2 linked regions of the Drosophila melanogaster genome follow. The protein of the gene in region 1 interacts with the protein of each later gene in a pairwise test. Each region holds a gene or a part of one and is shown in the gene's direction. Other genes may lie near its edges.

Region 1 (4,820 bases):
AATGCACCTTCTAATAACTATTTGCTCTGCTTATGCCTTTTAGAACCCAACTTTCAGTTGAACTCCAGCCGCCATGCCATCTCGAGGGGTACACTGGACGAAATAATGACCGCGTTAGAATCGTAGTAAGCTGGCAAATTGCGCACCAAGTACAGATAGACAGATACAGATCGAAACCGAAGCATACACACAGACACAGACATAGCTACAAACTCACACGCACACACGTAGGTTTATTAAGGACCGATTAATTTGTACATTTAACTGAATTTATAATTAGTTCTCCCTACGATCAAGAAGTAGTCTTACGTTTATTTTTAAAGACATATTCAATTTATATGCAAACTCACGTTGAAAATACCAAAGTATTTTTGCAAGAGAAAGCTATTGGTGCAAACGTTAATATTTTGCACTTATATGATTGCTAAATTAGTCAGCAAAACAGGGACAAAATTTAACACAGCTCACTCACTCAACTTGCAAATGTGTGCGATAGACCGTAAAAATTAATATTTTAATATTATTAACGGTTAAGCGGAATCAGAAAATCAATTTTCAATGTTTAAGCTACTTAAACAGAGCGTTACGTTAGTTTGACTTTCAAGAATACGTATTGTTCGTTTCTCATCCTTTTTTTTTTTGACAACTTAGATTTAAGAAACACTTGCGTTCATGCACATATATAAATATAAATATATATATTTAAGTATGGATCGTCTTAAATGTACTGTAAGTTCAATGTATTAATGTACATCATCATCATAAAATGTATGTATGTAAAAAGAAAACAGATTAAAAATGGATAAAATATGTTGCCAGTTTTCAATGGGATTGGCTGAGAAACTTTTTCGAAATTTGCCGCCATTTGAAGATGTTGCCACATTCGAACATTGACGTTGCCATATTGTGAAAAGTCTTGTACCGTTTATTTTAAGCTATGTAAAAATGATGTTATTTTTATTACCTAACATGTTTTTTTTTTCACAGAATATTCTACAGTTAATTTATACAGATTGAATAAATTTAATGTGCTAGAAAGAGATTTTTTTGTGACTAATTTGAATAGATAAATGGAAAGATGTTATCTTGCTTTATGAACAACACACACTTAACTTTCTGATATATTTATCAATCACAGGATAACTTAAGCTCGTTTTTATTAATGTTCTATTATATAATTAATATAATAAAATGTTTCTATACACAAGCAACCATCGCTCAGCGTTTCCGTTCTTATATATTCTTATTATAATAAGTATTATTTCGAATTTATGCAACGATTTTACGTTCGTTCAGTTTCGCGGCCAACGTTGCCACATGTTGCCACACGCTTGCCCCCAAAGGTGGCCACCTTTCATGCAGAGCCCCGCGTATCCAATGCAGCGCCAAAAGCAAAACAGTCGCAACTTTGACTTGTTGACGGTTGGTTCTCCTCGGGATTCTGGGGCCGCGTCAAAATTCCAGATCGTTTGGCGCGAGTGCGAACTATTTCAAAAGTTGCCCCTTTGCGTGAGACGTGCCCCCGAAATGTTGAACTCACAGGACCAAAGCGGGCCGGGCCCCTGAAAACCAAAAAGAAAATAAAGAAAGAAATTAAATAGATATAAACAAAAGAAAGAAAAAAACACACTATTAAATGATAGCACAAGTAATTTAGGCATAGGCCGGCCAAAACAATCAGAAACGGAGTGCAGAATGCCCATGAAGAAGGTGACGGTGAAGGAGTACGATTCGCAGGATGAGGCCAGCACCGAGCTGCTGGAGAAGCTCAAGCATCTCGACCGTCGTGTGGATGCCGCCGAGGGTGGTGGCTTGGCCAAGGGAACCGCCGGCGGACGAAGGAGCACCGCCTGCTGGCAGTCGATGAAGTGGAAGTCGGCGCTCAATCACATCGGACTGCTCGTCTCCCTGTCCATTTACTGCGGCGTGGGCGGATTGGTAAGCGATGGTGGGGGGCAACGTGTGTGCCCAGTTCGGTGCCCAGCAGACCCGAACATAACTAGGCAAATATTTAATTATTTTCAATATGTTTTTATTTATTTATTTTTGTTTTTCCATCCCCCCCTACCTTTGGCTCGCCTTTTGCGGCTGCCGCGAACATGCAAAATGATTTGTGTTGTTGGGCGAAAAGCCGAAAAATGGCTAGCGTTCAAATTGTTTGGAGCAAGAAAGAAATGCAAAACACACATAAATACAGTGGCCAATCGAGCAGGGGATTTAACTTGGCCTAAAAAGAAAATATTTAATATCCCTCTAATGCATTTTTAAGCCAACAAATTTAAGTCACTATATCCTTCCTTCAAATAAATGTTGCATATATAAAAAATTATGAATCCAACGATCGTGCACTGTACCAATGCGATTAAAAACAATAACCCAAACAGAGCGCAAATTTATTGCAGTGGGAAATAGTAAAAATTAGACCAAAATTAAGTCATAAAACTATTTTGTACATTTAAGTGCCCCGCCTCCCCTAATTGCCACTGCACACATATATCGCCACATATCCAGACGCCCAAATCTGTCTGGCTGGCGGAGCAGGAGGCAGTGCATCATGTGGACCACGTCCAGGCCTTTTTGGCCTTGTCTAAACATTTACATTTTCGCCAATGACGTCGTGGTTTCAGCTCTTGGCCAAGTTCTAGATACATATATACTTGTATATATATGTACATATGTGTATTTGGAACTGATGCCGTCAGTTGTCCACGACTGCAAACTACAACTGGCTGCAGTTAATCCAAGGCAAAGGTTGGAGCTGAAGCAGCCAGGAGTCCTAATTGCTGTGTCCCACGACTTGACATATGGCCAAGTGTCGTGCCGGGTGGGTATTTGTTATATTGCCTCTCAATTTCCGCGGACTACAACAATTGGCCACTGCGAAATGGATACGATGGTGTGGGTGACGGGCTAAATGAGCCAAACGAATGAATGTCGAAGCTTATCGAGAATGTCTGATATGTATAGGATATATAGTACGATGGAGGTAGCCATCATTAAGGAGCATCTAAAGCAGGCTATTTATACCGATAATCAGTGTTTTTCCTAAGCAGATTAGTAGATTTCTGTTGAATGTATTAAAAGATGGTTTGATTAGCTTAAATAATCATCCTTTGACTTGAGCTGGCGAACTTAAAATACATATTGTTAGCAAAGTGACTCTATTTTAATGTACTTCCATCGACGGACTGCCTTGGCAACTAATGATGATTCATGGCGCCTTGAGTTCTTCGATATTTTATTCTCGGCCACGTCGAATGGGAAATCGAACAGCATTATCTTGGCCCAATCAACACCTCGCTGATATATCGGAGAGCCATGCATTAATCAGGCAACACATTCGCATTCATATGGATTGTCGAGGAATCCCCACCCCCTTTTACGCCCTAGCTAAATTTTTCCGAATTTTCCGACGGACGAAACGTAACGGTTCGGGACGGGACCCTTCAATCTCTTGGCCACACACCACATGTTGGCCAATTATGCGCACTTCTCACTTAAATGGCTCATCAAATTTATTTCGAATTCAAATTCACATGGTGAATGGCATTTGTTTTATGTTCCGATTTCACGACGCCTCAATCGCTTGATCTTTTTCTTTATCCCAATAAACGGAGGAAAAATGCATTTAAGCTGTTGAAATAATAATTATATGAATAAATGGTAATCGTACTTAAATTATGTGCCACGTGGCATAAAAAATATTGCCAACTGAAAAATTAACCCTCCGGCTTTTGGTTTGCAATTTCGCACCCACTTACTTAACCCTTTAAACGGAAATGAATCCTGCGACGTGAGCGGAAGTGTCCACATCAGCATATCACATGTCATTCAAGTTTTCGCACAGTTTTTCCTCTATGTTTTCCGTTGCCGGAAATCAGTTTCGGTCACTTGACCAGCGACAAAAACTTTTGAACCCCATCGTCTTTTCTTCGATATTGGTTTTAACAAAAGTTGAAAATACTTAGCTTTAAGATGTGATCTTTGGATTTTCGGTGAAAATATACAGTTTTGTGTTTATTAATAGCCTCTTTGTTAGTTTGAATAAGTTAAAAGTATCTAAAGCTTCCCGAAATTTAAAAATAAAATTTGTACAATTTTTAATAGACTGATAAGTACTTTTTTAAAACATTTAAACAATATTTCTAAACCCATGTCGTCATCCTTTTGGGTGTCTCCATTTTCCGGAGATGAGCCGCTTTAAAGTGAAATCACTTTTTGGGTGGCACAAGCCCATAAACTTTTAATTGCTTTTGTTGACGAGCTGGCCATGAAGCAATTGACATTTATCTATTTAATGCGTTCGCTTCCTTTTTTCCCCGCGACACAACACCAGCAAGTTTATTTATTAATTAAGCCAAATTCCCAGGGGATCGAAGGGAGTGGGTCTCGAATTACCAGCAAACAGCCTCCCACTTTCACATATGGCAAAAAAAAAAAAAAAGAAAAAAACTCGTGGGATGAGTGGCCATAAATCATTTTAATTAGCATTTTGTAGCATACTTCAAGGCGTCGTCGATTCCCTGCACGTATGTGTGTGTGTGTGAGCTTTCTCCCTTTATCTGTGTGTCCCTGTATCCTTGTGTGCGTGTGTGAAAAATTTCACTTTGTCAAAAGTTGTCCAGCGGAAAAAGTTAGAGGCCGAGTGAATTAAGTTGCTGGCCAAAACAACAAAACGGCCAATTAGACTCAAGTCAACCCAACCCATTTTCCCACTTTCTCCCCTTTCTGGTCATTGGACAACAAAGGCCAAGTTATTAGCAACTACCAGCAATAATTATGTGGACTTTAGAGAATATGTAACGATTATAAAAAAGAAA
Region 2 (5,006 bases), on another chromosome or scaffold:
CGTGCTTTTGCCTGATTTTTACGCAGTTGTCAACCCGTCGAAAGCGACTTATTCGCCACACCTTTCAGGTGCAGAAAGACAGGAAGGAAGGAAGGATTCGAATCTGGATCCCCAGTCACGCTGTGCGTGCTAGAATGGTCAACAGTTTTATTGTCCGGCAAAGGACTCTGGAAACAAATGTTGATTTCTGCGCACAGAAAAGAAAAGGATTTTTTAGAGGTTTTTTATGTGTTTTCGCATCTGGCGGCGACAGTTGAAATTTTATACTACCGTTGGTTGTTAATGAGTGTCGAGATTGTATGCTTTTTAAACACATTCAAGGGTCCTTGAATAGATTTTGTTATTAACGGCGAAAAAAGTGGAAAAAATATGTCACAAAAGAGCGCCTTTAAATCTAACTTTGTGTTTACATTTTATATCAAAAACATTAATTCAATCTGTGCTAGTATGCAACATATTTCATTTAATTTTATTTATTTATTTTTCTTTCCAATTGAAGTCCTTTATCCCACCAGTTATTTAAAGTCGCAGTTGGTCTTTAAAATGCGCGGGGCAATGGCAAAGCAATTACCCATCGATTTGTTCGATTCGGAGGCGCTCAAGTGCTTAAGCGTCCTTTCACCTTTTTGGCAATGGCATCCTGGCGATTTTGGTCCGTGGATAAACAGCGTTTTGTTTGCATTTGCGTGGCGTTTATTTGTTTGCCCGCTGTTGATGTCTGCTGGTCGAGGAGCTTGGAGCTTGGACGACGAGGGTTTCCCGGGGAAGAAACAGATCTTCGGAGGGGTCAGGACATCTTGCAGACGTGGTGGGTCAAAGGCTCCTGCGGGTATTCCAACCGGTCACTGTTCCCAGGTAAGTCGGAAAAAACACAAATGGTTTACTTAAATTACGGGGCTAAGAAAGAAATGAAAATGCGCATAAAATTTTTATACTTTGTCGAATTTCACGAGCGTTCCTTCCCATCGATTCATCTGTGCACTTTGCAGTCGACGCTTGCGGAATAAAATCCACTGCCCCTCAATTCCTCAAATTAAGTAAAGTGAGTAGGGGAATCCCCTTTTCCATTTAAATTTGCATAAGAGGCATCGGCGAAAGCGGATGAGGATGCGGATGGGTTGCAGTGTAATTGGGCGAAGTGAAATTGCGTTAATATTTAACAAGCCAGCGAAAGTGCAAAAGCGAAGCGCATTAAATGCGGAAAAGGGATACGGAAACGTAGTCCTTCGGGGCAAAGTGCGAAATTATGCGGAGTTCAGGGAGATCCGCAAGCCCTTTCCTTTGCGAGCACGGACCTCAAATGTTAAATGTTAGCCATAAGGTCAGCCAAATGTGAAACTCGAGCCGTGAAAGCGAAATGTTTGACCGCGAAGAGCAGCGCTGATTTTGAGTGGTAATTTCATTTCTCATTATCGTCGTTATGGTAATTCAATAAAATCATGACAATTCAAAATTTCGTGCCCGGCATGCGATTGGAATCTGATTATTGCAAATTCAATTTATAGTGCTATAAATATAAAAAATTTACAAAAGATATTAAACATGAATTTTAACCCATATAATATAGTACAGTTATACATAATAATAATAAAATCCGCAAAGATCTATTTATCGTAAATTTCAAACATATACGATATTCAAATATTTTGGCGCCATTACAGGTACTGAAAAATACCAAAAATACCGTAAGGTAACTATCGATGACGGCGATCAGCTGTGATCATCAATGGCGAACAGCTGATCTGGCTCGCGAATTTTCATCTTGTTGTTGGACTTTCTGTTGTGGACTTTGAAACGTCGCCTCTCGAGTTTAAACAACAAAAGTTACTCAATTTGGAAAGCCATCGAGTGGATAGCCATGTTTCGGACCCGGGTGCACCGCAATCTGTCGTGGATATCGACGAACTCGTCGAGGACAACGACCACTCATGGCCAGCACTACCAATACCTGCAATGTTCCAAGCTGCCAACGCTGTACTTTCAGCGCTCCTTGCCGCGATTGCCCATTCCTCTGTTGGAGAACAGCTGTCGGCGTTTCCTGGAGGCCACCAAGCCACTACTCTCGCCGGCGGAGCAGGCGCAGACCCAGCAAACGGTGGAACAGTTTCGCCAGGGGATCGGCATGGAACTACACGCGAAACTCAAGAGCCATGATGCAGAGAACAAGCATACCAGCTACATCTCGCAGCCCTGGTTCGACATGTATCTAGCCGATCGAGCGCCCCTGCCACTCAACTATAATCCGCTGCTGGTGATGAAAAGCGACGCGCGACCGGAGTACCAGCAACAGGTGGTTAGGGCTACCAACCTGATCATCAGCTCGTTACGGTTCTGGCGATCTCTGCAGGCGGATCTCCTGGAGCCGGAGGTGTACCACATGAACGCCAAGAAGAGCGACACTTCCAGCTACCGCAGGTGGATGAAGGTGGCTCCCAAAGCCTTTGCCACCTACGCGTCTTATGCCTTCAAGGCCTTTCCGCTGGACATGAGCCAGTACAACCGGTTGTTTGGCACCTCTAGGATTCCTAGGATCGGCAAGGACGAGCTGGTCCAGTCACCGGACGCCAAGCACATTCTGGTTATGCGCCGCGGTCACATGTACGCCGTAAATGTGCTGGACTCCAGTGGATACATCGAGAGTCCCAGTGTGATTCTGGGCAGACTAAGGGCTGTGCTTAAGCTTGATGCAGATCGCGAGGCAGCCAGCGTGCCACTTGGTGTTCTGACCTCCGGACAGCGTGATGAGTGGGCCAAGACAAGACAGCATTTTGTTAGCAACACCAAAAATGCCGATCTTCTGGAGAGAGAGGTGGATGCGGCTCTGTTCTGCGTTTGTCTGGATGGCGAAGAAGATGGAGTCTTTAACGAAAACCAGCAGGAGCCGCTGCTCAAGCATTTGCTGGCGGGAAAAGCGCAGAATCGGTAAGAAGTCGACATTATGTAAAGCCTGCCTGATTCACAAAATCATCCTGTTCTGTTACAGTTGGTTCGACAAATCCATTTCCCTGCTTATAAGTGCAGATGGAACAACGGCTATTAACTTCGAGCACTCGTGGGGCGATGGAGTGGCTGTGCTTCGCTACTTTAACGAGCTCTACAAGGATACTTTGAAGCAGCCGTTTGTATCCACGGAGACAGTGCACACTCCCGCCGAAGGCGATTTTAGCAACGTGCGGCCCATCAACTTCGAAATCGACGATGCCACCAAGTCGGCCGTTTCGGAGGCTTATAATAAAAACGCCAGCATTGTAGATAATCTGGACATGAATGTGCTGAAGTACCCACACATCAACAAGCCCACATGCAAGCAGTATGGCCTAAGTCCGGACTCCATCATTCAGCTGTCCTTCCAGCTGGCTTATCGCCAAGCCTACAGCGGCTATGTGGGCAGCTACGAATCCTGCAGCACATCCGCCTTCCGACACGGACGTACCGAAACGATGCGACCGTGCACAAATGCCACACGGGACTTCTGTGAAGCTATCCTCCAGCCGGAGAGGAGCAAGCCCAGCGCCGGAGAACTACGAGCAATGATCGACAATTGCAGCAAGGTGCATGGCCAGTTAACCAAGGAGGCGGCTATGGGCCAGGGCTTCGATCGGCATCTCTTTGCCCTTCGGCACACGGCCCAAAAGGAGGGAATACCAATTCCCGATCTCTATGAGACTGAGGCTTACAAGCGCATTAATAACAACATCATTAGTACCTCAACACTGGGTTCAGATGCCCTGCTAGCGGGTTCCTTTGGTCCGGTGGTCAAGAATGGCTTCGGAATCGGGTAAGCTGACTGCCTGTCGAGATTGGGTATTTGAATGTACAAATGCAGCACCTATTTTTCAAGTTGCCTCGACAAATTGTTCACTAGCTGACAGTTGATAACCCATTATTCTTTCAGCTATTCGATTCAGAACGATTTTGCCGGCGCCATTGTCACCACGTACAAAAACCAGGCCGATGGGAAGGTGTTCATAGACAGTCTGGAATCGGCATTTGATAAAATTTGCGCTGTCATCCAGCAGAGCAGCAGTAGCAAGAAGTAGGAGAAAATCGTGAGGAGTCCGACCCCGAATCCAATGAATATGGCTTTAACGTAACAGGGAGATTTATTTTGATGCTTTTACATTGTATCCCATGTGTCTGAATTGCAATATCTTTATCTACAATTTATAGATTATACACTGAAAACATTCTACCCCATCTAAAGCATCTGTGTCTTTGCTTTTATACCCGCTGCTTTAATGGCTTTTGCGGCTGATGGGATAATAAATTGGCTAACATATTGTTGGGATGCTGCTGGCTTGACATTTGCAATTGAATACGAGAAATAACTCACGTTTTAAAACAATGCTGAAAACAACTTTAAAGTAAAGAGTTTAAGAAGTTTATATTAAAATTGAACATAGAGTTATGATAAACGAGCTGAAGTAAAATCGAATAAGAGCGGTTGAAAGCATTTAAGATTATTTTGCGTAAGAAAATGTTTTTTTTTTAAGAAAACATCTTTCGATCCTTTGTTTTCCTAAGTAAAATCAACACACAGAACGATGTATGGCACAAACCCTTTTGAGTTGGTTTAACTATTGAGTCTCCTTTTAAGCATGCGTAAACTTTGACCTTTCATTGTCACTTAAGTTAAACAAGATGTGTGCCCACGCACACCCTGTTCCCAACTTGTTTATCCCGGAATAAGTGGGGGAAAAACCCTTGCATTAAACAGTTTCTGATTAAAGATTTCCCACACGCTGACCCAGAAAACTTGGCCACCAACCCTTCGGGCCAAGTTGTTGCCTTTCGATTTGTGTCAGCCGCACACGTCAATCGCGAACTCCGCCTAAACATGGCGAAAAGTTTATCAAAACGTTGCCTTTTTGGCTGGGAATGGGGATGTCGCTAAATGTGCTGACGTTATCAGTTGATTTATCGTCAAATTTTGTGCCAACTGGCGTGGCGTTGTAAAAATTAATTAACTTGCTCGCCGAGTCTTCCTGATACGTACACGATTCCGC

What was found.
Region 2: the proteins of CG43155 (region 1) and CPT2 interact in a two-hybrid assay, tested with the Drosophila melanogaster proteins (one large-scale study listed by BioGRID).

What each region holds. Positions count from the first base shown.
Region 1 is NC_004354.4:11,458,187-11,463,006, forward strand, and holds the start of CG43155 (uncharacterized protein), read left to right. Parts: upstream 1-1,599; 5' UTR 1,600-1,695; coding exon 1,696-1,938; intron 1,939-4,820. Other genes in the region: HP5 (heterochromatin protein 5), read left to right, coding at 44-126.
Region 2 is NT_037436.4:2,979,265-2,984,270, forward strand, and holds CPT2 (carnitine palmitoyltransferase 2), read left to right. Parts: upstream 1-1,757; 5' UTR 1,758-1,858; coding exon 1,859-2,922; intron 2,923-2,983; coding exon 2,984-3,778; intron 3,779-3,895; coding exon 3,896-4,040; 3' UTR 4,041-4,287; downstream 4,288-5,006.